2 linked regions of the Anolis sagrei genome follow. The protein of the gene in region 1 purifies or fractionates together with the protein of each later gene. This does not show direct contact. Links are inferred from orthologs where the notes say so. Each region holds a gene or a part of one and is shown in the gene's direction. Other genes may lie near its edges. The genes, in order: SS18 and BCL7C.

Region 1 (16,203 bases):
ATGAGCCATGTCTTCTTATGCTATGTTCAATCTCATTTTAGTGATCTAATGCCATCTGCCTGCAACAAAGAACTGGTGGGATCACAAGCCTGAAAAAGTTACAGAAAATGAATACGTCAAACTACTCTGGGACTTCCGAAATCAGATAGACAGAGTTTTGGAACATAATACTCCTGACCTCACAATCATGTTAAAAAACAAAGTACGGATTGTTGATGTTGCAATCCCAGGATTGAACAGAAACAACTGGAAAAGCTGACACAATAGGAGGATTTAAAGATCGAATTGCAAAGACTCTGGCACAAGCCAGTAAAGGTGGTCCCAGTGGTGACTGGCACACTGGGTGCAGTGCCTAAAGACCTTGGCCTGCACTTAAACACAATCAGCACTGACAAAATTACCATCTACCAGCTGCAAAAGGCCTCCTTACTGGGATCTGCATGCATTATTTGCCGATACATCACACAGTCCTAGACACTTGGGAAGTGTCCAATGCGTGATCCAATACAACAGCCAGCAGAGTGATTTTGTTTGCTGTCGACTCATCTTGTTGTGTTTCAAATAACAACAACAACAACAACAACAACAACAACAACAACAACTTTATTTTTATACCCTTCCTCCATCTCCCCAAAGGGACTCAGGGCGGCTTACAAAGGGACAAGCCCAGAGAGCACAGAGTTAAAACGTAAGGCAATAAAATAAAAACGAAACAAAACCAAATAGAAACATATCACAATAATACATAACTTTACTTACTTAGGCGATCCCTCATTGTCTGAGTAGAATAATCCTCCAGGGTGGGTCCGTAGGTGACTGTGGAGCCCTATTCTTGATCTGCATCTTCTCCCGTAGTGAGGGCATTGGTTTCCAGGTGGAAGGTGGTCCTGGTCGGGGTTAACTTGATGCGCCTTCCTCTTGGCACGTTTCTCTCTTTCACCCTCTATTTGTGCCTCTTCAAATTCTGCAGCACTGCTCATCACAGCTGACCTCCAATTGGAGCTCTCAAGGGCCAGGACTTCCCAGTTCTCAGTGTCTATGCCAGAGTTTTTAAGGTTGGCTTTGAGTCCATCTTTAAATGGACTCAAAGCTAGTTTGTTCATAGCTGTCCTTTCAAATTCTAGTCTTCTTGTGATTGCTTGATTATGGTCTCTATTCTATGATTGTGGTCTATATCACAGAAGGCTCATTTCCCATTTAAAAAGCATTGTTTCTAGAAGTACGATTCAATTGGAAGTATGCTCTTTCCTTGCACACCTTGGGAACCATTCTGGGATTACAGAGTTCATTTGTTCAAAAGTTTATTTCGCACATCATTTGGGATTGCCCACTCACTACTTCCTCCACTACTGCCTCGCCCCCTAGTTTGGCACCAGGCATGTAGCCGGGGGGGGGGGGGCTTGAGGTGCTTCAGCCCCCCCCCCCGAAATTCATATCATGATCTGATCACCATACTCAATATATCCCATATCCATGGGGGTATTGGGGTAATGATACAAAAGGTTTGCTAGGCTAGACCCTCTTTCACTAAGACTCAGCCCCCCCCCCCGAAACTCAGCCCCCCCTCCTCGAAACGAAATCCTGGCTTCGGGCCTGTTTGGCACACATGCATCCAAGCATGCATGCATAAAGGTTTTTTTTTTCCTGGTGGAGGGGGGACTTCCTGATTGGGATAGATCAAACTTCTCAAGCAGAATGAATAGGAAACAGAGGAAAGACAACAGTACTGGTCTATCTGTCTCAGCTATCCTTGCCAGTGAAGGAATAAACAGCTAAAAAGAAGCAGAGGGTTGATAAAATAAATGCTTTATGAAACTGTAAGATTCTTCTGGCTTTTACTCCTTACATTTCAAGGTGTATATGTATTGGGGGAGGAGGGGAGTGAGAGAGAATGAGGACATTAGCACATCAGGGACTTGTAGTAAGAGATACTCTGGAAAGCCAAGCCCTATGAAGAGCAGCTTAGGGAGCTAGGTATATTTAGATAGGAGAGAGGTATGTTTGGATAGGAAAAAAGAAGACTGAGAGGGGACATAATAGCCATGTTTAAATATTTGAAAGGATGTCACATTGAGGAGGAGGCAAGGTTGTTTTCTGTTGCTCTGGAGATTAATAAGGACACAGAATAATTGATTTAAATTGCAGGAAAATATATTCCATGTAAACATTAGGGAGAACTTCCTGATGGTAAGAGCTGTTCAGCAGTAGACTATGCTGCCTTGGAGTGTAGTGTTGTCTCCTCAGGAAATTTTTAAACAGAGGTTGGATGACCATATGTTAGGAATGCTTTGATTGATTGATTGATTGATTGATTGATTTCCCATATTTGTACCTCATCCTTCTCACCCTGGAGGAGACTTCAGGAGGCCTTACAACAGGTGTGCCACAGGGTTCTGTCCTGGGCCCAGTTCTGTTCAACATCTTTATTAATGACTTAGATGAAGGTTTAGAAGGCATGATCATCAAGTTCGCAGATGACACCAAATTGGGAGAGATAACCAATACTTATTTATTATTTATTTATTTACTTTACTTGTATACCGCAGTTTCTCAGCCCAACAGGCGACTCAACGCGGTTTACAACAAGGATAAGAATCAATCAACGATATACAATTTAAAACCATAAAAGCATAATATACAATATTGACACAACAATATTGACACAACAGAAGACAGGAGCAGAATTCAAAACAGTCTTAACAGATTAGAGATGGACCAAAACTAACAAAATGAAGTTCACCAGGGACAAATGCAGGATACCCCACTTAGGCAGAAAAAAAATTAAATGCAAAGATACAGAATGGGGGATGCCTGGATCAACAGCAGTACCTGTGAAAAAGATCTTAGAGTCCTCATGGACAAGTTAAACATGAGCCAACAATTTATTTATTTATTTAGGGCTTTTATATCCCATCCTTTCTCAACCTCCGCAGAGGGACTCGGGATGGCTAACAAAGTGGCACCCCATGGCACCCCCCTCCAAACATAAATATACAATTAACAGCAATGTAATAATAAGAATATAAAACATTATAAACAGTATAAAACCGTATAAACAATGTGATGCGGCATCTAAAAAAGCCAATGGGATTTTGGCCTGCATAAATAGGAGTATAGCGTCTAGATCCAGGGAAGTCATGCTACCCCTCTACTCTGCCTTGGTCAAACCACACCTGGAATACTGTATCCAGTTCTGAACACTGCAATTTAAGAGAAATCTTGACAAGCTGGATTGTGTCCAGAGAAGGGTGACTAAAATGATCAAGGGTCTGGAGAACAATTCCTATGAGGAGCAGCTTAAAAAGCTGCACATTTTTAACCTGCAGAAGAGAAGGCTGAGATAAGACATTTCAGCCATGTATAAATATGTGAGGGGAAGTCTTAGGGAGGAAGGAGCAGGCTTCTTTTTTGCTGATCTGGACAATAGGATGTGGAACAATGGCTTCAAACTACAAGAAAGGAGATTCCACCTGAACATTAGGAAGAACTTCCTAACTGTGAGAGCTGTTCAGCAGTAGAACTCTCTGCCCCTGAGTGTGGTGGAGGCTCCTTCTTTGGAGGCTTTTAAACAGAGGCTAGATAGCCATGCTTTGATTATGATTTTCTGCTTCTTGGTAGGGGACTGGACTAGATGGCTCACAAGGTCTCTTCCAATTGTATGATTCTATGATTCTAGGCAGCAATTTGATGCCATACAATCATATATCAAATAATCAATTACAATTAAAACCAAACAATTAAAACATCAATTAAAATCATGCCACCCAAAAATCCCTACCATGTTTTTCCTGAATAGGGGGTTGGACTGGCTGGCTTTTATGGTCTTTTCCAACTCTATGTTTCTATGATTCTATGGAAGGAGCTTGAAATTGAAGGCATGGGGGTGGGGAGGGCAATGAACAAAGTTTTGTACTCCAAGTATTTTTTACTTCACTTCTCCAAACCCCTGATCATTGACCACACTGGTTGGAACTTCTGAAAACTCTGAAATATTGGAGCACTAGAGATTGAGAACCTCGATAGTGTATAAAATGTGAAATGGGCTGAGAGCTCCCTTCAAACATCATTTCAGCCATAAAACTCTTAGGGCCATCACAAGCCCACTGTGCTCTTCCAAAGTAAGACATTTTTCAAGCTGGTAGCAATTATTAAGGGATACGGGAGAAATAACCTACAGAACCACAAATGCCTTTGAGAAAGGGAAGGATGCAAATGTTGCTGATACAGAGTACCATCTTAAAGAACAAAAGAAAATCTTGGTGGACTTTTAATCTTAAGGGGAAGTTAGACAAGATAGTGCCATATTATTTTTTATTTATGAATGCAAGTAGGAGACTCCCTTTCGAAAAATAAAGCCAGGACTTGGAAAGATTTTGTCACTAGGGCTATGCCACATCCTCCCATTAGTGCTGACTGTTCAAGAAGATGTGTATTTCTTTTATGCCAAAATATTTATATTTGCCAACGAACATGTCACAGGGTAGAATCAAAATTTAGCATCCCTGCGACTCTCACTTGTTTCATTAAGATCTCTCTGGAAGATATCACAGACACTTCTACCTTTGTAAATGGGATGTTGCTTGGTAGTTCATTTTTACATTGGGACACAGAGGCCCATATATCAAGGGCTACTCTTTTAATATTCCATGCAATATCCAATGCAAATCATAAATGTCAAAACTAGAAAAAGCCAGGCAAGACAAAATAAACCAATAAATGGAGTAAATTCAAGGCATCCTGCCCTGTTGAGATAATCCCTTATATGCCATAAAAAGCATCATAAGAAGAGCTACATCCCATCACCCCACAATGCTGTTTTCATGAGCTAAGATATGACACCTCATTATCTATTATGCCAGTGACAATGGGAACAATCCAGGGAAAGACAGGAATACAAAATGTCATTGAAATCCATTCGTTTCAAGCAAACAATAATTGCCAAGGTCTGTTATCATAGGCATAGTTCTTTAGAAACAAGCCCAATTGCAACCTATATGATTTAATTCCAAGCAGACAAATTAAGGCCACGCTCTATGTCCAATTCAATGCAAGTTTTGATTCATCTTTACATATATTGCACCCAATTTGCACAATTGTGGAAAGAATCAGTCATAAAGGGACAAGGAAGGTTGTGTTTTGTTGCACGCATGTTAAATTTTCATTTCCTGCTTAGTCCCTAGAGATTGTTATGGGGCAAGAAAACAAAACAGACGCATGATGCTAATATGTTTTATTGTGTGTAATGCCAACGAGATTCTGTGTATCAATTGGTACTTCAGATGCTAGGATACCGTAAAGAATAATGACTGAGAAACCTTGCAGAATCTTTTGTGAAAGCAGGAAATAAATGATAATGACAAACAAACCTTCCAGTATCCTCTGTGAGAAAAGGAAAGAGGGGAAAAGCAAGAAAATCTAATTGGAGTTTATTGGCTGAGATTAAAGCCAGATCTCCCAATGAAATTATTTGGAAGAAATTAGGTTTTCAGTTACCTAATGTTTACCCTGTCACTTACCAAATACTGTACCTTTTCTTCTTCTTCTTCTTCTTCTTCTTCTTCTTCTTCTTCTTCTTCTTCTTCTTCTTCCATGAGGTGCTGCTTTTGAGGTCCAATTTGTGTTAATATACAACAGTCTTTAACTCTCTCCATTTCTGTTTCTAAACTCAGCACAATGAAATTCTAATGTAACACATGCAGGGTCAGTCTACACTATACAATTAATGCAGTTTGACTCCACGTTAGTTGCTATGGCTCAGTGCTGTGGAATCCTGGGAGTTGTAGTTTGCTGAGGTACCAGTATTCTTTTGCAGAGAAGACTAAAAAACTAAATCTTCCATGATTCCATAGCACTGAGCCATAGTCATTAAAGTGATTTCAAATTTCATTGATTTTACAGTGTAGAATGTACACTTCAGTCATCCAGGTATTTTGGAGTTCAACTCCCATAATTCCTGATGGGAGTTGAAGTCCAAAACACCTGAAGGGCAAAAGTTTGCCCATGCCTGTCTCAATGTAATTTGATTATCTGTTGACCTCAAGACGTAGACTGAGCCTAAGGGGGAAAGGGAAGGGGCCCGGGGCTGTTAAGAATGGTAGGAGTTGAAGTCCTAAACACCTGGAGAGCCAAAGTTTGCTCATACCTGGTGTAGATGAACTCGCGGACAATACAAATAGATTTTAATTACAATATCCAGAATCCCTCAGTGAATGTGGACACTGACTGGGGAGCTCTGGGAACTGATCTAAAAAAAATAAGTTTCCTAGGCTCCAAAGCATAGAAGTAGAGTTAATAAGGTCTGACTCAGATAGTGTAGCTATACTGTTAACAGTATCGTCATCAATATTTTTATTGTAGTAGGTGATTAAAACAATGTATGAAAGCACACAAAATGAAAATCCAGGCAGTAGCAGATGATGTTGCACAAAACATTATGCAACACTTTCAATATCATCAGTAACAAATTCAAAGTAAAACAGAGCCTCTGAGACAATTTGTAGCAAAACAATTTCTGATTCTCTCCTAATCTTTGTTATCCTCTTTTTATTGCAACCAAAGAACCACTTTGTATGTTATTTGTATTGGGCAAAAGAAATTGAACAAAATTCTACAAGAGCATTCCAACTTGAATCATAAAGGGTTTCAAACTCTTTCTGTAGGGTATAGTGCTTTCAGTGTTGGACTAAGGTGCATCTTCACTGTAGAATAAGAGCAGTTTGACGCCAGTTGAACTGCTATGGTTCAGTGCTATGAACCCTGGGTTGTAGTTTTACAAAGTCTTTTGCGTTCTCTGCCAAAGAGTGTTGGTACCTCACTAAACCACAACTCCACAGAGTCCATAGCATTGAGCTTTGACAGTTAAAGTGGTATCAAACTACATTAATTCTACAATGTAGCTATATTCTTAGAAAAGGTGGCGTAATGTTTTGTCAATCAACTAGCTCTCAACATCTTTTCAAAAAAAGAAATGGCAAAAAACACGAAAAGAATGTAGAGACCGTGAAATGATAGTTGTAGTTTTACAAGGTCTTTACCCTCCTTTGTCAAAGAGTGCTGCTGCCTCACCAAACTACAAATCCCAGGATCCCATAGCATTCAGCTGCAGTAATTTATTTCTCTTATTTCGTGTCAAAAGCATTGCATAAAATGGTTTATCTAAAACTGATAAAATAAAGGGATCACAAGCTGCTAGATAGTTTTAGGCCTAAAACAAGCAACAGACAGACCTTTCACACAATCCTATATCCCAGAATATCAAGGCAGGATATTCCACATCTATCAGTGATGTCGAGATCGTCTGGTTTGCCTACTCTGGAACATGCAACATATCATTGCCCTTCCATAGGGGTCCCTTTCAAATCTAGCATACTCTCTCTCTCTCTCTCTCTCTCTCTGTGCGCGAATCATATCTATCTATCTATACCAATGGCTGGATGGCTCTTTGTCAAGAGGGCTTTGATTACATTTTCTTGCCCAGGTGAAGGGAGTTGGACTGGATGGCCGTAAGTATTTTCTGTTGGTCATGGGGTTCTGTGTGTGAATTTTGCCCCAATTCTGTCATCGGTAGGGTTTAGAATGCTCTTTGATTGTAGGTGAACTATAAATCTCAGCAACTACAACTCCCAAATGTCAAGGCCTCTTTCCTTCAAAGTCCATCCGTGTTCATATTTGGGCATATGAAATATTCGTGCCAAATTTGGTCCAGATCCATCATTGTTTGAGTCCACAGTGCTCTCTGGATGTAGATGAACTACAACTCTACGTGGGGCTGCCCTTGAAAATGGCTCGGAAATTCCAACTGGTCCAATGGTCGGCAGCCAGGTTGTTAGCCGGCGCTCCTTACAGAGAGAAGTCAACCCTCCTGTTTAAGGAGCTCCATTGGCTGCCGTTCATCTTCCGGTCCCAATTCAAGGTGCAGGTGCTCACCTACAAAGCCCTAAACAGAGTGGGACCCACCTACCTGCGTGACTGCATCTCCATATATGAACCCACATGTTCCCTTCAATCATTTGGAGAGGCCCTTCTCACGATCCCACCTGCGTCGCAAGCATGTTTGGTGGGGATGAGGGACAGGGCCTTCTCTGCGGTGGCCCTCCGACTCTGGAACTCTCTCTCCAAGGACATCAGACAAGCCACAACGTTGGCAGTCTTTAGGAAGAGCCTGAAGACCTGGCTGTTCCAGTGTGCCTTTCCAGAATAGGAAACTCCTGGCATCATGTCCCAAATGCACTTTGTTAGTGATTTAGGAATGTCTGCACATTGCACCTACTTCCAAAAAACCTCTACATATCACCTGTCAAGTCTAGCACTTTTTAAATTTTGTCCATTACATTTGGCCCAGCCTTTAGGTTTTAAATATGTCATGGTGTCATTGTTTTTAGTGTTTTATTGTTTTGCTTGATGTTTTATTATTTGCTTATGAGTTTTACTGTTGTATTTGTATGCTGTTGTTTCTTGGTGGCCTTGGCCTTTGTAAGCCGCATCGAGTCCTTCGGGAGATTTTGCGGGGTATAAATAAAGTTAATAATAATAACTCCAAAACTTAGGGTCAATGCCCACCAAACCCTTCTAGTGTTTTCTGTGGGCCGTGGGAGTCCTGTATGCCACGTTCGGTTCAATTCCATCATTGGTGGAGTTCAGAATGCTCTTTGATTGTAGGTGAACTATAAATCCCAGGAACTACAACTCCCAAATGACAAAATCAAAAATGTTGAGTGAAGGACATACATTGGGTTGTTAGGTGTGTGCTGTCCAAATTTGGTGTCAATTGGCCCACAAGTTTTTGAGTTCTGTTAATCCCACAAACAAACATTATTTTGTATTGTCAAAGGCTTTCATGGCTGGAATCATTAGGTTCTTGTGAGTTTTTTCGGGCTATATGGCCATGTTCTAGAGGCATTTTCTCCTGACGTTTCGCCTGCATCTATGGCAAGCAACCTCAGAGGTAGTGAGGTCTGTTGGAATTAGGAAAATGGGTTTATATATCTGTGGAATGACTGGGGTGGGGCAAAGTGCTCTTCTCTGCTGGAGCTAGGTGTGAATGTTTCAGCTGACCACCTTCATTAGCACTTGTAGGCCTGGCTGAGCCTGGGGGAATCTTTTGTTGAGAGGTGTTAAGATGTGCCTGGTTGTTTCCCTTCTGTTGTTTTGTTGTTGTAATTTTAGAGGTTTTTAAAATACTGGTAGCCAGATTTTGTCCATTTTCATGGTTTCTTCCTTCCTTGAAATTGTCCACATGCTTGTGGATTTCAATAGCTTCTCTGTGTAGTCTGACATGGTGGTTGTGAGAGTGGTCCAGCATTTCTGTGTTCTCAAATAATATGCTGTTCATCAGGTACATTTGGGTTGTTAGGTGGATGCTGGACATACATTGGGTGGTTAGGTGTATGCTGTCCAAATTTGGTGTCAATTGGTCCAATGGTTTTTGAGTTCTGTTAATCCCACAAACAAACATTACTTTTTATTTATTTAGATAGATAGATGGACAGATGGAGAGAGAGGCGGGTTTGGAGTTTCCCTTTCGCGGCTCGTGACAGGAAAAGAGGCCCACTCTGGGCAAAAAGGAGGAGGAGAAAGAGTGGGAGGACACCATGCGCTCCCTCCTCTTCCCTCCTCCTCCTCTTCTTTCTGGGCAGGACCATTTGTTGTCGCTTTCAGCTCTCGAAGGAGGTCGGGTAGGAACGTACCATTATCACGCAGAAATGGGGGAGGACGACTGCCTGAGCGCCCTCGAAACCACACTCCCAGCCACCAGAAACAAAACGCCTGTGACGTTTTGGGACACAGTTAAATGAAACGCGAGGCGGGGTGAGTGGCTGTGTCCACTGAGTGAGGCGGGTTCAAGGCTTGCCTCCCCCCGCGCCGTGCAATGGTTCGTCCCAACGGGCAGCCGCTTCCTCCTCCGACTCGCTCTGCTCCTCAGAGAGGCGTCCGTCGTGTGAGGGGCGCGGAGAAAGGAAGGCGAAGGCGAGGAGCAGCCGGGGAAGAAGGCGGCGTGGGGGTCCTTCGCGATGTCGGTGGCCTTCGCCGCCCCCAGGCAGAGGGGGAAGGGCGAGATCACGCCGGCTGCGATCCAGAAGGTGGGCGGAAGGGCCTGGGCGGGAAGCGGGGCAACCCGGGTCCGGGAAAGGCCTCCCTCCGCACTGGCCGCTTAGACCAGCTCGCAGCTGGAGCCAGGAAACACGCTCCCCCCACAGCTCGCCCTTTAAACGCCTCTTTGCTCTCTGGCTTCTGTCACCACCACCACCACCTGGGCCTCAAAGTGGGTCCTGGGTTTCCTGTGTCATCACTTTCTTCAAACTGCGCTAAATGGTCAGTGCAGATGGGACAGTGGCCTTCCCGAAACCCAGGAAGGTAGCCGAGGCCCTGAGGGGAATGATGGCGAGAGGAATACACCCTTCTTGCTATGTGAATGGAGTCCTTCTTTGTTCCTTCCACTGAGGGCCCTTCCACACAGTCCTATCACCCAGAATATCAAGACACATAATCCACAATCTCTGCCTTGATCTGGATTATCAGAGTCCACACTGCTCTATGTCCCAGTTCAAAGCCGATCATGTGGGTTTTTATTCATCTGTGTGGAAGGGGCCCCAAAATATCAAGACAGATAACCCACAATATCTTTTTTTTTAAATCTAGGCCAGGGGTCCTCAAACTAAGGCCCGGGGGCCGGATGCGGCTCTCCAAGGTCATTTATCCGGCCCTTGCTAAGGGTCAACCTAAGTCTGAAATGACTTGAAAGCACACAACAACAACGACAACAATCCTATCTCTTGAGCCAAAACCAGGCCCACACTTCCCATTGAGATACTAATAAGTTTCTATTTGTTTAAATTGTTCTTCATTTTAATTATTGTATTGTTTTTAAGTGATTTTTGCACTACAAATAAGATATGTGGAATGCATAGGAATTCATTCATGTTTGAGGAACTGTAACCTGGCCCTCTGTTTAAAAAGTTTGTGGACCCCTGATCTAGGCTATCTTGAGTCCGCACTGCCATATAATTCAGTTCAAAGCAGATAACGTGGGATTTTATACAGCTGTGTGGAAAGGACCACATTGATCATTCCTTATCCCCAATTCTGAAAATGGCTCACCCCGCTCTCTGGATTTGAATCACCGACCTTTCGGTCAGCAAGTTCAGCAGCTCAGTGGTTTAACCCACTGCACCACAGGGGGCTCCATGCCTGGTCCTAATATTCCCAAATTGTCTTAATTAGTGGCATCTGTACCAGGCATGGAGCCCCCTGTGGTGCAGTGGGTTAAACCACTGTGCTGAACTTGCTGACCGAAAGGTCGGTGATTCAAATCCGGGGAGCGGGGTGAGCTCCCGCTGTTAACCCCAACTTCTGCCAACCTAGCATGCAAATGTGAGTAGATCAGTAGGTACCACTTCCGTGGGAAGGTAACAGCACCCCATGCAGCTTAGAAATGGAGATGAGTATGACCCCCACCACCTTTCACACAGCTGAATAAAATCCCACATCTGCTTTGAACTGGGATATATGACAGTGTGGACTCACATACCCTAGTTCAAAGCAGATATTGTGGGTTTTCCTGCCTTAATGTTCTAGGACAGAGGTCCTCAAGCTAAGGCTCGGGGGCCGGATACAGCCCTTCAAGGTCATTTCTCTGCCCCTCATTCAGGGTCAACCTAAGTCTGAAATAACTTGAAAGCACACAACAATGACAATCCTATCCCATCAGCCAAAAGCAGGCCCACACTTCCCATTGAAATACTTTTGAATAAGTTTACATTTGTTAAAATTGCTCTTCATTTTAATTATTGTATTGTTTTTAAGTGGGTTTTTTTGCACTACAAATAAGATATGGCCAGTGTCCCTAGCAATTCATTCATGCTTTTTTCAAATTATAATCCGGCCCGCCAACAGTTTGAGGGACTGTCACCTGGCCCTTTGTTTAAGAAGTTTGAGGACCCCTGTTCTAGGATATAGGGCTATGTGGAAGGGCCCTAAATGTCAAGGGGAAACCTTTACTTACACCAGGCATGGGCCAACTACGGCCCTCTAGGTGTTTTGAACTTTAACTCGCACAATTCCTTACAAGGCCCATGGCCTTCTCTGCCACAGAGTCACCAAACTACAACTCCTAGGATTCTCTAGCATTGAGCCATGCTAGTGAAAGTGGTGCCAAGCTGCAATCATTCTACAGTATTTGCTCTCAGATGGTTCATTATATGTATACTTCGTTTCATACACAATTAAAAATTACCTTCCAGCAATGTATATAATAATCAGGTGTGTGAAAAACCTGAATTATTTTCATGTTGAAACTTGAGCCCCATCTCCAAGCTATCTCATTGTGCATTTGCAGAAACAGGTACAGCTTGGCTGTCTCTTACCTGAAATGTTTGGAACCAAATGTGTTTTAGATTTTGTTTTTTATCTTTTCAATTTAGATTATTATTATTATTATTGCAATATTTATTTATACCCTGCTTTATATTTCCCAAAGGAAACTCAAAGAGGCTTAACATAAAAGTATTAGCAAACAATTTAAAATATGCAAACATTAAAACAGAATTAAATATAAACAGCATTAAAACATTCACAGTTAAAATCCATTAAAACATATTCAAAGTTAAAAACAGACAGTCCCCAAGTTACAAACAAGAAAGGTTCTGTAGGATTGTTCTTAAGTTGAACTTGTTTGTAAGTCAGAAAAGGTACATTTTTTAAGTGTAACTACAGCCAAAAATATTTATCTTTTCGCTTTTGGAGAAGGGTTTGGGGAAGCATCAACAGCTCTGTGGCGTTTGTTTTGCTGTCTGTGCCCCTGTTCAAAAGATTTCATCTCACTTTCTGTCCCTGTGAAAATTGGGTTTTGAAAAAATGTAAGTTGTTGTGGAAACAAGGATGGTAGATAAAACTTCAGTGGAGACACCTTTTCTCCATGATAACTCAGGAGTGGATTTCCCTTCCAAGGGGTAGATATTAGGCAATGCATATACAGGTTCTGTATCTCTTATCCAAAATGCATGGGACCACAAGTATTTTGAATTTGGGGTATTTTTAGATTTTGAATTATCTGCATTTGTATATACATATATAATGTGATAACTTGGAGATCCACATAGAAAATTTAATTTATGTTTCATATACATTTTATGCACATAGCCTGAAGTTAACTTTATACAATATTAATTATTTCATGCATGAAATAATGTTCACTGACGCTTCAAAAAGCAAAGGTGACACTATCTCAGCCACCCATATGTTTTGGGTTTCAGGATTTGGAATAAGAGATGCTCAACCTATATTTGGGGTTACAGTATTAGTTGTAAGATAGTGGCAGTCACAGGTCTCATCTTAGGTCCCATTCTCTGCTTCAGTGTTCGGCGCTTTAGAGTCTGCTGGGATCAGAGGGAGCAGGGCATTGCCTCAGGACTATATGCTTTAGTTCAGTGTAATGCTATTATAAATGGAATACAGTGTTCCCTCACTTATCGCAGGTGTTCCGTGAAATAGGGACACTCCCCCCCCCTCACTTCACCTTCTCTTTCCTCTCCTCTTTCCCCACCCTACCTCCCTCGGGCACCCATGCCACCCTCCCCTGGCAAGAGGGACACTTTTGTCTGTGCAGCCCTCCTCCTCCTCACCTTCCCTCCCTCCCTCCTTGCCTTCTTTCTTCCTTTGCTTTCCCTCCACTTCTCCCTCACTTGGGAGCTGCTGAGCTGCCAAGGGGAGAGGGGAGGCGAGGAGGAGGAGGAGGGCCATGCAGAGAAAACCGCGAAATAGCAAGTCTGCAGTAAGTGAACCGCAAAGGAGCGAAGGAACACTAGTTTGGAAAGGTATTATAAGCTAAACTGTCTGGAAAAGTAACAATCTAAGTTTTATGGGTTCACGGAAGGTGAGAATAGACATTCTTTCACATTGTGGGAGGGAGTAAGAAGGTGAACAGAACAGTGAACATACTATTGTAACTCTTAAAACATGTAGCTGTGATTAAATAAATATATATACTTGAACACTGGATTTGCAACATGAAATAAATGTGCATCTGAAACATAAGTTTGATAGTAGTGGGTAGAAGGCTAATAGGACTGCAACCATGTAATGCATAGCTTGCAATTACATGTGAAACTGGAAAGATTAGTAATGGAAATGTGTAGGTGTTTTAGCTTCTGGAGTTTCTTAGTTCATGACAATGGTAATTAATGTACTGAGAATGTAAAACTCTTGTTGGTACATGTTGCCGATACAAAGTCTCTTACTCAAAACTGTTTTGAAATCTAAAAGCTGCATTTATTGCATTAGTGCTTCCATATTTAAAGTTATTATCACCTATTCAAGTAATACTTTATTTTCTTTTCAAAGTTTTAATATCTAATTCTGATACAGTAAGACCCCGTATAGAGAAGTCTCTAGCAGTATTAGTTCCTTGTGTAGTTTAGAACCTCAAGTTCTAGCATTCTGAATTTTGTAGGGGAATGATATGCTTACATATGGTTCCATATTACATAGGCTAATCCCTCCACTTTCTGGAGGGCTGCAAGAAGAGGCAGGAAGTACATAAGAGAGAAGAGCAAATGAGGGGATTATCCCTTTTGCCCATTTCATGTTGCTTAAATCATGTAGGCGATGAACTTTTGAATTCATCTTGTAAACAAAAGAAAATGGCAATAAGATTCTCCAAGATTCTCCAAGATGGGCTGAGAGAGAGTATGGTTTCAACTGAAAGTAAAATGCTAATAAAGTACAACTCTACTTGTATCTAGAATGAAGAAATCTGTTACTTTGATAGGTGATAATTCCAAAATGACAGAATGCTTTTGGTAAATGTATTTTAATACCAGTAAATGTTAAATGTCTTAAGACCTAAAGTGAAGTTAGTTTCAGGAAGTTTAGAAGAATACCTAGAAATTTCTTTCCAGTTCAATCTGAATGTACACAGTATTCTATCTTAAGTTAGAATATTTAAAGAAACTGAATAGAATTGTATGTATGTTGAAGTAGATTAGTCTTATTCTTAGCATCTGTTTTGTTTTCAGATGTTGGATGAAAACAACCATCTTATTCAATGTATAATGGACTACCAGAACAAAGGCAAAGCCACTGAATGCTCTCAGTAAGTTGACAATCTGTATGTAGTGCATGGGAACTGTGGTTTGCAAGTGGAGCAGGTCTATCAGTAGCATGAAATAAGTTGTGCAAGCTAGCCTGTGGATTCTTTATGGAGAAACCAACCTAACATCAGGTTACACAGCATTCCTGTCAGTTATTCCGTTGGCACAAGTAACATCTCCTCCTGGGCAACTGACTTGCCCTTATATCTGTTTTGCGAAATACAGGTAAGCATAAGCCAGCATGCTGGTGAAGTACCAAATTGGCAAGTTAAAAGAAAAGCAAGTTCCTCCCTCTTGCAGCATTGCTACATCTCTATAAACTCTGCAAAAACAATCTGCTCATAGGGAAATTATTACTTTTATTGTTATTAGTCGAGGGGTGGTGGCCTCTCGACTCTGGAACTCACTCCCTAAAGACATCAGACAGGCTCCAACTCTGGCAGTCTTCAGGAGGAGCTTGAAGACATGGCTGTTCCAGCGTGCCTTCCTGGAATAATGATCCCATAGTACTTTGTCCTCCAAAGCACTTTACATTTCTTTAAGTCTGCTCGTATGCCCTTCCACAAACACCAGTATCACATTTGTCCATGTCCCAGCATTATTTCCAATTTTAACTCTACATTTGGCCTTCCTACTGTTTTTAATTATGTGTTGTCTTATTGATAATGTTATGTATTTTATTGTCTATGTTTTTTAATTGCTTGTATTGTTGTTATTATTGCTTGTATTGTTGTGTTTGGGCTCGGCCTCATGTAAGCCGCACCGAGTCCCTTGGGGAGATGGTAGTGGGGTACAAATAAAGGGTTATTATTATTATTTCTAAAGAAATGTAAAAAGGTGGGTGTTAGATAAACACATCCTATTCGGGGTTTTAAATGTGAAAACCAACACCCTGAAGCAGTTCCTAAAATAAATGGTTGCCAATGCATAAACAAATATTGTGTTCCCTTGTTATCAGTGGTCTGTTGGATTCTGCGTCAGCTGCTGCTTCCAAACTGGGCAACCTGATGCACAGTTTATATAATGGGTTATTATTACATAATTAATTTATATTACTGGACAGTGGTGACTGGATTTTTTTTTGCAGAGACTATGGTTAATTGTTTAACAAGCAAAA
Region 2 (15,759 bases), on another chromosome or scaffold:
CAGAGGAGGCGGTATGGTACTAGGATATAAGGGCGGGCCAGACAGGCAAAAGGGTTTTGTTTTTCTGGGCCCAGAGCCACTCTATCTTTTTTTTCCATACCCAGAGTGCCCCGGATGCCTGCAGCTTGCTTCGCTCTTTGTTTACACCTTCCTGGTGAGGTGCCCCTTCACCTCACCATCGGGACCGCATTAAGTCCACAAATCCTGATGAATGGATTTTCTTCTACCGTACTTGTTGTCATATGTTCTGCAGTTGATGTTTGGTGATGGAAGGGTTAATGTATTAGTTCTAGAGGGTTTGGCAATCTGTAAGTGGGAGATCATGGGTGAAAGCAATTAAGGGTGGAGGTGTGCAGGAGATGGGTTGCAGCTGGGTGTTACTGGATTTAAGGAGCTAACTTTGAGACTTATCTTTGGGAGAAAAGTATTTGTTGTATTTTGGTGGTGGATGTTGCTGGTTTTCCCCCCAGGTCTGTCTCCTGTAATCTTGGAATCCTGGAACCTTGAACCTTTGGACTGGCTTGTGACTACGGTATAGACTCTTGATCCCTGGACTTTGTTTATTGAACTCTCGGCATTTGACCATTGGACTGGACCCTTTTGACTACAAAGTTATTTTTGCTATCAGTTTTTGTTTATTCTGTAGCTGCGTGCTATCTTTGTGTTTTATATTTTGGACTATAAAAACAGCCAGCAAGTAAGTGCTGTTTTAATTAAACTGTTTGTTGAAACTGGAAGTTTGATTCATCTCTACCTAAACAAGGTAGAGCCCTAGCAACGTGACACTTGTACAGCGTCGCCCTTAATGTTTTCATACAGTCGCTGCATACGGTAGGGACGCGGCCACTGCCATTTTTGAGCTCCCCCACCATATGCGGCAACCACAGATTCTCCAATCCAGATTGAAAGTTTCAGCGCCTGCTGTATAAGACAACTCCCAGCGTATACGACTACTCCTGCGTATAAGACGACTCCCACATATAAGACCCCTGACTTTTGAGAAGATTTTCTTGGGTTAAATAGTAGTCTTATATGCCAGATATGGTGAATAAGTGTTGTGTTTTCAGGACCCCTCATAAGGTAGATATGCCTATGCTTTAAGAGTAAGGCCTGCCCTACCATTAGGCAAGAGTTTTTGTGGTCCTGAAAGTATAGTAGATGGTGAATGGTTTGCTTTGTAACTGATGCACTCTCACTGCCAGAAGGAGTACCAAGGGGATTTTCCTCCTTGTGTGTCAAAATAATATGAACTGGTTTTAAGGAGGAAACAAAAAAAATTAACTAAAGCAGACATGTGCACAAGGGGTTTGGTTACAAAGTTCAGGCGGTAATAAGTTCAACTCGGGTGTTTGTAAAGTTCAAATTTGAGTATGACGGAGAGCTTGCTACCACCACTTCCTCTCCCTCTTGTGGCAACAGTAGTTTGGCAGTTAAGCAGCAGAAAGAAATCCATCACTCAAAAGTAATACTGCCCAGCAAACACAGGCCAACGGCCTTTCCACACTGCCCTATATCCCAGAATTTCAAGGCAGAAAATCCCACATTACCTGAGTGTGGACTCAGACAACCCAGTTCAAAGTAGATATTGTGGGATTTTCTGCTTTGATATTCTGGGATATAGGGCTGTGTGGAAGGGCCCTTAGGCCCCTTAATGCACTGTTTCTCAATCTTCTCAACCCCTTAATTCAGTTCCTCATGTTGTGGTGACCTCCAACCTAACTACTTCATAGCTGTCATTTTGCTACTATTATGAATCGTAATGTAAATATCTGATATTCAGGATGTATTTTCATTCACTGGACCAAATTTGGCACAAATACCCGATACACCCAAATCGGAATACTGGTGGGGTTGGGGGAATTGGTTTTGTCATTTGGGAGTTGTAGTTCCTGGGATTTATGATTAACCTACAATCAAAGAGCATTCTGTGATGGAATTGAACCAAACTTGGCACACAGAACTCTCATGACCATCAGAAAGCACTGGAAGGCTTTGGTGGGCACTGAGCTTTGGAGTTGTAGTTCACCTACATCCAGAGAGCACTGTGGATGCAAACAATAATGAATCTAGACCAAACTTGGCATGAATACTCAATACACCCAAATGTGAACCGTGATGAAGTTTGGGGAAAATAGACTTGACATTTTGTGAATTGTAGTTGCTGGGATTTATAGTTCACCTACAACCAAAGAGCATTCTGAACTCCACCAATAATAGAATTGGGCCAAACTTCCCACACAGAACCCCCATGACCAACAGAAAATACTGTGTTATCTGATGGTCTTTGGTGACTCCCTCTGACACCCCAAGAGGTCCTGACCCACAGGTTGAGAAACACAGCTTTAATGGGTATGTCTTTCAAATCAGCGCTTGTATACTGGGACTGGGATGTTACATTTTGGGCTTCAGTTCCCGTTAGCCATGCTGACTGTGGATTTGGGGAGATGTGTTCTGAAGTGGAACCCTCTCAAGCTTTGCTTAGTGAACTGTCACGGCTGATGTACCTAACCTCGTGAGATGAGTCTGCCTGGGATAATGAAAACAAAAGGCAAAAATATCCCCAAATGCCATTACTCACTTGATACCCAACTGACCCAGCATTTGCATGAATGCCCCTCCGCCTGAGCCTATGGTCTTCCTGTAATCCCAAATCCTTCCTGCCCCAAAGTCACGCGGGCCTCTCAAATACTGACTCACCGAGGCCTTTTCCCTGCTGGACACCCCACAAAAAGCTCGTGCTGATGGTGACCCCAACTAACGCCTTTGAGTCATCCTCCCTGTGAACGGAGACCATGGGCTGAGCTGCTCAGCTCAAATCCCCGGAAAGCTGCTTTCGAAGATTACGCGGGCCTGTCTCACCGGCTTTGTAAAAAAGGGGGTGTGTGGGAAGGTGTTGTGAGATGCTGGGAACCAAACAAACCCTTAATTATACAGAAATCAAATAAACAACATTATAGATTACAAAGTTCTTGTTACTGGAAAAGTGCTCCAAAGTGGTCTCATAGTCACGTCCCTGCTCTCTTAGATGATAAATATTGCTGAGCTTGGGCAGAGCGCATGTTCTCTCTCTCCACTGAACAAAGTATTTCAAATGTGTCTGAATTCAACTGATACAGCTCATCTTGGAGAAGCAGGGTGAGAAAAGCTCCCACCAACTAAAAATATATAAAAAACAGAATAGTTGTCTGTATTGTCGAAGGCTTTCATGGCCGGAATCACTGGGTTGTTGTGAGTTTTCCGGGCTGTATGGCCATGTTCCAGAAGCATTCCCTTCTGACATTTCGCCTATATCTATGGCAGGCATCCTCAGAGGTTGTGAGGTCTGTTGGAAACTAGGACGTTCTTTCTCCCACCCTGGACATTCCACAGATATATAAACCCCAAATTCCTAATTTCCATCAGGCCTCACAATCTCTGAGGATGCCTGCCATAGATGCAGGCAAAATATCAGGAGAGAATGCTTCTGGAACATGGCCATACAGCTTGGAAAATTCACAACAACCTAGAAGAGTTGTCCTTTCTCTCTAAGAATCTCTAGGTCCTCCAATGTAGATCAATGGCCAATGTCTGCCAGTTATGCTGGAGGAATGTCTGCCAGTTATGCTGCCAGTTATATTTCTGGAAAGAACACATCTCTAGGAATCTGTAGATCTTCCAATGCAATTCTGTAGCCAGCTTCCAGCGGAAGTTGACCATAGAGTCATATGGACCCAGGATTCCTTAAGAGGTGGATTGATCTTGTCATTTGGGAGTTGTAGTTGTTAGTATTTATAGTTAACCTACAATCAAAGAGCATTCTGAACTCCACTAGCAATGGGATTGAACCAAACTTGGCACACAGGACTCCCATGATCAACGGAAAGCACTGGAAGGGTTTGGTGGGCATTTACCTTGAGTTTTGGAGTTGTAGTTTACCTATATCCAGGTAGAGCACTGTGGACTCAAACAATGATAGATCTGGACCAAACTTGGCACAAATTCTTAGTATGCCCAAATTCTCAATATGGTCAAATATGAACACTGGTGGATTTTGGGGAAAATAGGCATTGACATTTGGGAGTTGTAGTTGCTGGGATTTATAGTTGAACTACAATCAGAAAGCATTCTGAACCCCACCAATGATAGAACTGGGCCAAACTTCCCACACAGAACCCCCACAACCAACAGAAAATACTGGGTTTTCTGATGGTCTTTGGCGACCCCTCTGACACCCCCTCATGACCCCCACCATTGGTCCTGGCCCCCATGTTGAGAAATGCCAGCTTACATTGTTGAATGAATAAAGTTTGATGCTACTTTAACTGCCATGGCTCAGTGTTATGGAATTCTAAAAATTGGAGTTTTACAAGGTCTCTAGCTTTCTCTGCCAAACAGTATTGGCGCTTCTCTAAACTATAACTCCCAGAATTCTATAGCATTGAGCCAAGGCAGTTAAAGTGGTGTCAAACTGCATTAATTCAGCTGTGTGGATGCACCTTGAGTAACTGCGTATTCATACACATACTTCAGAAATGCCAGAAAGGCTTTGTTGGGGTCTGCATAGGAGCAAATCTATATAAATAAAAATGAAATGTTCGTTTGTGGGATTAACATAACTCAAAAACCACTGGACGAATTGACACCAAATTTGGACACAAGACACCTAACAACGCAATGTATGTCCTTCATTAAAAAAATTGATTTTGTCATTTGGGAGTTGTAGTTGCTGGGATTTATACTTCACCTACAATCAAAGAGCATTCTGAACTCCACCAACGATGGAATTGAACTAAACTTGGCACACAGTTCTCCCATGACCAACAGAAAATACTGGAAGGGTTTGGTGGGTAGTGCCCTTTGGTTTTGGAGTTGTAGTTGTAGTTCACCTACATCCAGAGATCACTGTGCACTCAAACAATGATGGAGCTGGACCAATCTCTACACGAATACCTCATATGCCCAAATGTGAACACTGGTGGACTTTGGGGGGGGGGAAAATCTTGACATTTGGGAGTTGTAGTTGCTGGGATTTATAGTTCACCCACAATCACAGAGCATTTTGAACCCCACCAATGATAGGATTGGGCCAAACCTCCCACACAGAACCCCCATATGGGCCACAGCAATGCGTGGCAGGGGACGGCTAGTGTTTAATAATGGAACACTTCATCTCTGTCCACTCAGAGGCAGGTTCCACTGAGATCAATGGGACTTATTTCCAAGTAAAATGTTTTTATAAGAGCTTCTGCATCACATCCTGTTTGAAACTAGACTTTGCAGTCTCTGATATTATTTTCACTTTTTTTCCACTGAAGGCTGGCCTAACATAAAGTTTGAAAAAACATAATAGTTTCTGTTCATTATCTGTGCTCTTTCGAAGCAGAGTTATTTTTGTTGCATAAGGAGGATGTAAAGATGTGAGATTGCAGAAATCATTCAACAAGTTGGAACAATTCCCTTTAGTTATGTGCTGTCAAGTTGTTTCCAACTTAGGGTTAGGTTTTCATGACCTAGCAAGGATTTGATAAGGCTTTTCTGTGTGGCAAAACACTTATCGAGGCTGGCAGATGTTTTGTGACCTTGATGTCATTCTTTGTTACTATTGTGTGCCTTCAAGTCATTTCCATCTTACGGGAACCTTAAGGCAAACTTCTCACGGAGGTTTCTTGGCAAGATTTGTTCAAATAGAGTTTGCCAGAAGGACTTGGGCGGCTCACAAAATATTCAAGGAATGAAATGCAAAATACAAGTGCAAAACAAAACATACAATGAATGCAACATCATAAATTCACAATACCCCTGGTAAAAATAATAAAATACAGCAATTGCTGTAGATAAACAACAGTATTCAATCTCAGAAGTATAAAGTGCTAATAAAGAATCTAAAGGTCCTCATATATATATTACAAGAGAGTCTAAACATGGTCAAAGCCAGGTCTTTAATTGTGCGTGGAAGGTTTGGAGGGTGGGGGGCAGCCTGTTGTTGTTGTTGTTGCCCTGCTTTCCTTTCTTATACTGGCAGGGTTGAACTAGAAGATTTTTGTGTGTGTGTCAGAAACAACTTGAGAAACTTCAAGTCACTTCTGGTGTGAGAGAATTGACTGTCTGCAAAGACCTTGCCCAGGGTACGGCTGGATGTTTTGATGTTTTCCCATCCTTGTGGGAAGCTTCTCTCATGTCCCTGCATGGGGAGCTGGAGCTGACAGAGGGAGCTCATCCGCACTCTTCCCAGATTCGAACCTCTGACCTGTCAGTCTTCAGTCCTGTTGGCACAACCCATTAACCCATTGCATCACCAGGGACTCCTAGATGATATCTTCTAACTCCATGATTCTAGGACAATGGAAGGGCGCTTCTTCCTACAGAGTACTTAGGCAACCTAATTATCCCAAAACATAGGAAGGTGTTCTCTTTGGCTAAATTCAATGTACTCCCTTCTGCTGTACTGGAGGAAAGAGATAACAAAGTACCATACGATGAATGCCTATGTCCCTCTGAGGCTGAGGCAACAGAAACTATGGATCACATTTTGTTGTACTGCTCTTTTTACCGAGACCTTCGTTAACATTTTATAAATCCTATTTTAGAAAGTTTATCAGGGAGATATGTAAAGTTTTATGTTGATTATCTTTTGGCTGACCAACACCCCAAATTACTGCTAAAGTTGCTAGCTTTTGTGCAGCAGCAATAGCTTGTCGTCACAAGATGCTGTCACACTCTTAGAAGGTTTTAATATTTACTCCAGTTTTTACCATTGTCATTTTGGCATATACGTGTTTAATACCGTTTTAACTTTCATATTCAATACTGGGTTCTAACTTTGTTTTTGACATTGTTTCTTAATGCCTAAATGTATATGTTCTTATTCTGATGTATGTACATTTATTGGTGCTGGTCATTGACCGTAAATAAATGTATATACAGTTTGAGTATCGTTCATCTGTAATTTTGAAATTGCAGATATTCCAAAACCGTTCTTAATGTTTTATGCCCAACACTAGCCATCCCCTGCCACGTGTTGCTGTGGCCTAGCCCGGTGAACTGGAAAATAAAGTAATGAGAAAGTGTTGGCTTCTAATATATGTAATTTCTTTATGCTTGTGGATAAACATTACTTCTTGTTTTTTTGGTCAATATTGATGTAGAGATTGTCTGGTTTGCCTACTCTGGAACATGGAACATATTATTGTCCTTCATTAGGAGTCCCTTTCAAATCTATATTATATCTGTCATATGTGTGTGTGAATCATATATATCTATCTATATCTATGGCTGGATGGCTCTTTGTCAGGCTTTGATTATGTTTTCTTGCCCTGGTGAAGGCAGTTGGGCTGGATGGCCTTAAGGCAGCATTTCTCAACCTGGGGGTTGGGACCACTGGGGGAGGGGATCACAGGGGGGTGCCAGAAGGGTTGCCAAAGACCACCAGAAAATACAGTGTGGTCATGGGGGTTCTGTGTGGGAAGTTTGGTACAATTCTATAGTTGGTGGAGTTCAGAATGCTCTTTGATTGTAGGTGAACTATAAATCCCAGCTACTACAGCTCCCAAATGCCATGCTCTGTTTTTCACAAACTTCACCAGTGTTCACATTTGGGTATATTGAGTATTCATGTCAAGTTTGGTCAAGATCCATTATTGTTTGAGTCCAGAGTGCCAGGTTTGGTTCAGTTCCATTGGTGAGGTTCAGAATGCTCTTTGATTATAGGTGAACTGTAAATCCCAGCAACTACAACTCTCAAATTACAAAGGTGTCTTGTGTTCAAATTTGGTGTCAATTCGTCCAGTGGTTTTTGATTTATGTTAACCCCACAAACAAACATTACATTTTTATTTATATAGACTAGCTGTCCCCTGCCACGCGTTGCTGTGGCCCAGTCTGTGTATATGTGTTTTGTGTGTGTATATATTTGTGAATATATGTGTCTTTGCATTTATATATGTGGCTTTGTACATGCATTATAATGTATATATTTTTGTTTTGTTTTGGGCTTTTAAAGTCTCTTCTGCTGTGTTTTTCAGTGTTTTATGAGTGATGGTCACTTGTCAGCCTGAGAGGCGTATTGTGTCCAAATTTGGTGTCAATTCATTCAGTGGTTTTGGAGTTATGTTAATCCCACAAACGAACATTACATTTTTGGGTTGTTGTATGCTTTTTCAGGCTGTATGGCCATGTTCTAGAGGCATTCTCTCCTCACGTTTCGCCTGCATCTATGGCAAGCATCCTCAGAGGTAGTGAGGGGTGTTGTTGATATTTGCCATAGATGCAGGCGAAACGTCAGGAGATAATGCCTCTAGAACAGTGTTTCTCAACCTGGGGGTTGGGACCCCTGAGGGGGTCGTGAGGGGGTGTCAGAGGGGTCGCCAAAGACCATAAGAAAACACAGTATTTTCTGATGGTCATGGGGATTCAATGTGGGAAGTTTGAGCCAATTCTATCGTTGGTGGAGTTCAGAATGTTCTTTGATTGTAATGAACTGTAAATCCCAGCAACTACAACTCCCAAATGTCAAGATCTATTTTCCCCAGACTCAACTAGTGATCACATTTGGGCATATTGAGTATTCATGCCAAGTTTGGTCCAGATCTACCATTGCATGAGTCCACAGTGCTCTCTGGATATAGGTGAACTACAACTTCCAAACTCAAGGTCAATGCCCATCAAACCCTTCCAGTGTTTTCCATTTGTCAGGGGAACCAAGTTTGGTTCAAATCCATCACTGATGGAGTTCAGAATGCTCTTTGATTATAAGTGAACCATAAATCCCAGCAACTACAACTCCCAAATTACAAAATCAATCCTCCCCCAACCCCACTAGCATTCACATTTGGGTGTATTGGGTGTTTGGTACAGGGAATGAAAATGCATCCTGCATATCAGATATTTACATTATGATTTATGACTGTTATGAAGTAGCAATGAAAACAATATTATGGTTGGGGGCAGGCATGTAGCCGGGGGGGGGGGGCTTGAGGGGCTTCAGCCCCCCCCCCCGAAATTCTCATGGTGGTTCGCGAAAAGGCCTTACTGGTGCATTATTTAAACTTATGTTTATTCATATCATGATCTGATCACCATACTCAATATATCCCATATGCATGGGGGTATTGGGGCAACATTACAAAAGGTTTGCTAGGCTAGACCCTCTTTCACTCAGACTCAGCCCCCCCCCGAAACTCAGCCCCCCCAAAACTCCCCCTTAAATTTTTTTAGCCCCCCCCCCCAAAACGAAATCCTGGCTACGGGCCTGGTTGGGGGTCACCACAACATGAGGGACTGTATTAAGGGGTCGCGGCATTAGGAAGGTTGAGAACCACTGCTCTAGAACATGGCCATATAGCCCAAAAAAACCTACAACAACGCAGTGATTCTGGCCGTGAAAGCCTTCGACAATACATTTTTATTTATATAGATTATGAAAAGTCATATGTATAGACCTTTGGGTGATGCATATAAAGTCTCTATGAAACATAAATGAGTTCTACGTTGAGACTTGGGTCCCATCCCTAAGCTATCTCATTATGTAACTGCAAGAATGCCAAAATCCAAAATGCAGGACTCATCTGTTCCCAAGCATTTCGGACAAGGGATGCTCAACCTGTAATCAAATGATAGACATCTTTTCAAAACCTCACTGTACGGTCTCTTCCTAAAACCTGCAGCCCTAAAGATCTCCTATAGCACTGTCGCTTAGAGTACAAGGGAATGGTGTTGAGTCACCAGATGTGTATCTGCAAATGTGTTATTTGTTTCTTCTTTTTTCTCTTTCTTATCTGCATCTCCACCTGCAGGATGCAATCCTAAAAAGAGTCAAGTCAGGAGACTTTTCTGGCTTCTCCTAGTCAGCAGATGGCGCTCCTTTAGTTACAAATCTCTATTGGAAAGAGACAGAAAAAAACCACAGAAAGAACTATATTATTTTCTTCCGATGGTGAACTGCCTTTTTTCCGTTCTCTCTTTTTTTTGTCTTCCCCTTTTTGTGTGTGTGTGTGTGTGTGCAAAGGCTGGACAGGAAAAGAAGACAAAAGAGGAGGAAGTCCAGACCGGCAGAAGCTCAAGAGGAAGAGAGATGTGCAGGAGAAGGCTTGAATAAAAAAGAAGAAGAAGAGAGAAAGAGAGAAAAGGAGGGGGGAGAGAAAAGGAGAAATTGTTGACACATCATTGACAGAGGAGGACCGCTTGATGGAGAAGCTGTGGCGAGATAGATGGAGGACCGAGTGACGCAGATGCTTTCCAGCACTGTGATTCCTGCAGTGAGCAAAAACAGGTAGAGAGGAGGGAGAGGAACAGGTAGAAAGAAAGAAAAAGATAGATAGAAAGAAAAGAGAAACAGCAAGGGAAGTGTGAGATGGGATAAAGGGAATGGACAAGCATCAACACAAGATTGCCAAGTAAATAAATACAGAGTCTTGTCATCTTCTCCGAATCCAGCTGGAATACCATCACACTCCAAAAGTTGGACCAAAAGAAAAAGAAGAAAGAGTAAAGAAAGAGTGAAATGGGATAAAGGGAACGGGCAAGCTTAAGCCAAAGGTTGCGATCCAGCTTGGAAGCCAAGATTCTTATTATCTACCCCACATCCACCTCTGACATCAACACAACCCCAAAAGTTGGACCCCGATGTCGGGACGGGCGGTTCGAGCAGAGACGCGGAGCCGGGCGAAAGATGACATCAAGAAAGTGATGGCAGCCATCGAACATGTCCGGAGATGGTGAGGCCCAAGGCTTGATTATAGTATTTGTTGACAGTGGTCCAACTTTGGCCAGAAATGTAGTTAAATGTATTGTCGAAGGCTTTCATGGCCAGAATCATTGGTTTGTTGCAGGTTTTTTCGGGCTATATGCCTGCATCTATGGCGAGCATCCTCAGAGGTAGTGAGGATACCTCTGAGGATGCTTGCCTCACTACCTCTGAGGATGCTTGTCATAGATGCAGGCGAAACGTCAGGAGAGAATGCCTCTCAACCATGGCCATATAGCCCAGAAAAACCTACAACAACCCTGTAGTTAAATGGGTTGTCTTAAGTTTTTCGGGCTGTATGGCTATGTTCTAGAAGCATTCTCTCCTGCCGTTTCGCCTGCATCTGTGGCAGGCATCCTCAGAGGTTGTGAGGTCTGTTGGAAGCTAGGAAAATGGGGTTTATATATCTGTGGAAGGTCCAGGGTGCTTCAGAGCACTTGATGAACATAATGCCTGCCACAGATGCAGGCAAAACGTCAGGAGACAATGCTTCTAGAACATAGCCATACAGCTCGAAAAAAATTACAACAACCCAGTGATTCCTGCCATGAAAGCCTTTGACAATACAAATGTGGTTAACGTAGGCAAACCTATCTATTTTTGGTCAGTCATCAGATCACTGCAGTAAGTGTTTTATTGGGACTTCACAGGGACCTGGCAACCTTATATTATTTCTGTGTTGTGGGTACATTGTTGGACCTCCAAACCAAGCTTCCAAGGTGTGGGGCACAGGATTAATTTAATGTGTCTTTATTATTGTTTGCCATGCCCCTATCTACACTGCCATGTAATGCAGTATGAAATTACATTATATCAGGTATGGGCAAACTTTGGCCTTCCAGGTGTTTTGGACTTCAACTCCCACAATTCCTAACAGCCGGAGTTGAAGTCCAAAACACCTGGAGGGCTGAAGTTTACCCATGCCTGCTTTGTATGGTTAGCGTAGACTCATATAATGCAGTTCAGTGCAGTTAAACTGCATTCTAGAGTGGGCTGGATCCAAATTTAATTTGTATTTCCCCCCCTAAGGAACTGGTTACAGTTTAGAAAAGTTACTCTTAAAATTATACCTCCTAGAACTGTCATTATGCCAGCCAACAGGGAAAACATGCATGCTGCCTGATTGGGAAGGAGTTCTAGGAACTATAGTCCAAAAAAAGAGCAACTTGCAAGCTTTGTATTAAACGACTATGACTAAACTGCAGTGGTGCAACATATCTGATGCAACCACATTATTCTTTCTCTAAGGAGAGGTAAATACCCGTTTTTAGATGGGTTGTGAGTTCTTCGGTGTATGCAGTTTGTGCAGGTGGTCGTTATTGTTGTTAGTATAATATTTATTTATACCTCACTATCCTCTAATTCAGTGTTTCTCAACCTGGGGGTCAGGACTCCTGGGGGGGTCGCAAAGGGGTGTCTGAGGGGTCACCTCGCAACCAATTTTCTGTAGGTCATGGATTTCTATGTGGGATGTTAGGCCCAGTTCTATTGTTGATGGAGTTCAGAATGCTCTTTGATTGTAGGTGAACTATAAATCCCAGCAACTACAACTCCCAAATGTCAATTCCCCAAACTCCACCAGTATTCACATTTGGGCATATTGAGTATCCAAGCCAAGTTTGGTCCAGATCAATCATTGTTTGAGTCTGCAGTGCTCTCTGGATGTAGGTGAACTACAGCTCCAAAGCTCAAGGCCAATGCTCACTGAACCCTTCCAGGATTTTCTCTTGGTCGTGGGAGTTCTGTGTGCCAGGTTGGTTCAATTCCATCGTTGGTAGAGTTCAGAGTGTAGGTGAACTATATATCCCAGCAACTACAACTCCCAAATGACAAAATCATCCCCCTCCCCCAACCCCAGCAGAATTCAAATTTGGCCGTATTGGGTATTTGTGCCAAATTTCGTCCAGTGAATGAATACATTCTGCATATCAGAGATTTACATTACGATTCATAACAGTAGCAAAATTATAGTTACGAAGTAGCAATAAAAATAATTTTATGGTTGGGGGGCACCACAACATGAGGAACTATATTAAGGGGTCGCGGCATTAGGACGGTTGAGAACCACTGCCCTAAAAGCACCAGATTCCATCTATCGAAAGCCTAGCAGGGTCAGTTCTGGCTAGTATTTGGATGGGAGAGCATCAACAAATATGAGCTGTATTTCAGAGGAAGGAATTAACAAAACCTATAGATTCCATATGTACAGAATCATAGAATCATTGAGTTGGAAGAAATCCCAAGGGGTTTCCAGTCTAAACCCATTCAGTTGTGTAAGTGTTATTAGGAAGGTTGAGAGCCACTGTGCTAATTAAATGAAACTCAAAGGTTGGGGTTGTTTCTGTTTTAGTATAGTTGTATGCCAATCTGTTTGGGCAATATTTCTCATCTTGTCCACCAAAAAGTCCTTGATAGGATGGAATGGGATTGCCTTGTCTACTTTTCCGGAAAGGTTCATTTTACATGCAATAAAACGGGCGCTTGCAGTGCCACAGTTGCACTTTCTGCCCACCCAAACATGACCCAGCTGATACATGTGCAGTGGATTGGATGGGAGGAGACTAATGCTCTGAATTAGTTAAGAGACCGCAAAAGAACCGGAGTTATTATGGCAATATAGGGACTGTCCCCCAAGTGGCCTTTTGTATTGGTTTTGCCATTCAAGTTAGAAGAAAAGTAGAGGGGGGAAATGGCCTGTTAATATTCATCTTAAGACCTTCTGCAGATTTTCCAGCTAGGAAAGAGTATATTTATTTATTTATTTATGTATTTATTTAATTTGCTACATTTGTATACCACCCCTCAGCCCGCAGGCGACTCAAGGCAGTTCACAAGGCAACAATTCAATGCCAACAAGATCATAAAAACGTTAAAACATTTAAATGCATTAACACATCAATTAAGACCATAACAGTAGCTATATATATATATATATATAGAGAGAGAGAGAGAGAGAGAGAGAGAGAGGAAAGTGTGTGTGTGTGTGTGTATCTATATATATGGGGGGGGGGGGAGGCCCAGTGGCACAGTGGGTTAAACCGTTGCGCTGCTGAGCTTGTTGACCAAAAGGTCGCAGGTTCAAATCAGGGGAGCAGCATAAGCTTTCGGTGTCAGCACCAGCTTCTGCCAACCTAGCAGTTCAAAAACATGCAAATGTGAGTAGATCAATAGGTACCACTCCGGTGGGAAGGTAGCAGTGCTCCGTGCAGTCATGCCGGCCACATGACCTTGGAGGTGTCTACGGCAGCTCTTCAGCTTTGAAATGGAGATGAGCATCACACCCCACAGTCGGACACGACTGGACTTAATGCCCTATATTTACCTCGATCTATCGATCTATCTATCTATCTATCGATCTATCTATCTATCTATCTATCTATCTATCTATCTATCTATCTACCAGATTTCCGGATTGTCTTCAAAATAACAACAACAACAATGGGAAATAGTGGGAAATTCTACATTCCTCTTCTCAAGCCACAAAGTGCTTTTAATGTACATCATAGTTAAAAATGGCATAACTTCCACATTTCCATAGGAAAAATAACCCAGGACATATGTGGTCAACCAACATCAGAATATGGTCAGAAATGCAAAGGTTATGAATGAGGAAGAACACACAATCCAGGAGATTTCTTATTCTTGCTGAGCAAATTGAGTCCAAACTACTTCTACACTTTGAACTCATTTGCAGAAGAGGGAAAGCGGGAGTCGGAAGGAGAAACTGGGACATGTTACAAGCATCTGAAAAAGTGGGAGGGCAGAGGGTTAAATGGGACACTTCCTGCCCAACCAGGACAATTGGAGGGTACGAAATGGATGAACTCCATCCAAACAGTTTCTGTCGCTTGCATCAAATAGCTCTACCTTTCTGAAAACAACAAGAAAGCTTGACGATACCTCTTGGTTCCTTTATGCTTACCTTGTAAGGTGCCTTGAGTTCCGTGCCAGGAGAAAAGCATAAATAAAATCCAATAAATACCCTGCTCCATTCATACAGTCGGAGTAGGCAGAAGCCACGCTCCTCTACCCCACCCTGTTGGGCTCACTTAAGCATGATAAGAGGAAAAGTGATCTTTGAAGATCCATGCTCCAAACATACAACTTCATTATTAAAGTAGCTGTACTGGTTTCTGTTTGTTTCTGGGCTCATTTCAAAGAGCTGGCCATAATCCCAATGGCCCCAAACAGTCTGGGTTTCTGATAGGCCAAAGGACATCTCCTTTTGCATGAGCCGGATTGAGCGCTTTGCTCAACAACAGGGCTTGAGGTTCAAAGAGGAGGAATAACAATTCCTTGATGTCCAGGCATTGAGAGTCTTATTGGTATATGGTGGAATTACCAGCAGGTCGGAAGGAATCTTGAGTACCCAAAAGCTTTTAGATAGGGATGAACAAAGAGCAAACTTTGGAAATGGTGTGTATGTATGTTTTGTCATTGTTGTGTGCCTACAAGTCATTTCCAGTTTATGGTGGCCCTAAAGCAAATCTATCAAGGTCAGCGAGTGTGTTTTCATGGCCAAATAGGGATTCAAATCCTTTTCCCGAGTTGTAGTCTTGTGCGCCAGCTGCGCCCATACCTTGGGAAGTCTGACTTGGCTATGGTAGTCCATGCTCTAGTTACATCTCGTATAGACTACTGCAACGCTCTCTACGTGGGGTTGCCTCTGAAGACTGCTCGGAAGCTTCAAATGGTCCAACGATCGGCAGCCAGGTTACTAACAGGAGCGGCACTCAGGGAGCATGCAACTCCTCTGTTGCACCAGCTCCACTGGCTGCCAATTTGCTACCGGGCACAATTCAAAGTGCTGGCTTTAGCCTTTAAAGCCCCAAACGGTTCTGGCCCGACCTATCTGTCCGAACGCATCTCTTCCTATGAACCAGTTAGGACGTTAAGATCTTCTGGGGAGGCCCTGCTCTCGGTCCCGCCGGCCTCACAAGCATGCCTGGTGGGGATGAGAGACAGGGCCTTCTCAGTAGTGGCCCCTCGGCTGTGGAACGCCCTTCCTACAGACATCAGATCGGCCTCCTCCTATCTGG

What was found.
Region 2: the proteins of SS18 (region 1) and BCL7C purify together in Homo sapiens (affinity purification with mass spectrometry; 3 studies listed by BioGRID and IntAct, counting the BioPlex papers as one, with this or other methods). This does not show direct contact. The link is inferred for Anolis sagrei from reciprocal best matches to the Homo sapiens genes SS18 and BCL7C.

What each region holds. Positions count from the first base shown.
Region 1 is NC_090024.1:58,263,375-58,279,577, forward strand, and holds the start of SS18 (protein SSXT), read left to right. Parts: upstream 1-9,871; 5' UTR 9,872-10,010; coding exon 10,011-10,079; intron 10,080-15,011; coding exon 15,012-15,088; intron 15,089-16,203. UniProt on the Homo sapiens protein: Appears to function synergistically with RBM14 as a transcriptional coactivator. Isoform 1 and isoform 2 function in nuclear receptor coactivation. Isoform 1 and isoform 2 function in general transcriptional coactivation.
Region 2 is NC_090026.1:14,293,399-14,309,157, reverse strand, and holds the start of BCL7C (B-cell CLL/lymphoma 7 protein family member C), read left to right. Parts: upstream 1-9,844; 5' UTR 9,845-10,599; coding exon 10,600-10,691; intron 10,692-15,759. UniProt on the Homo sapiens protein: May play an anti-apoptotic role.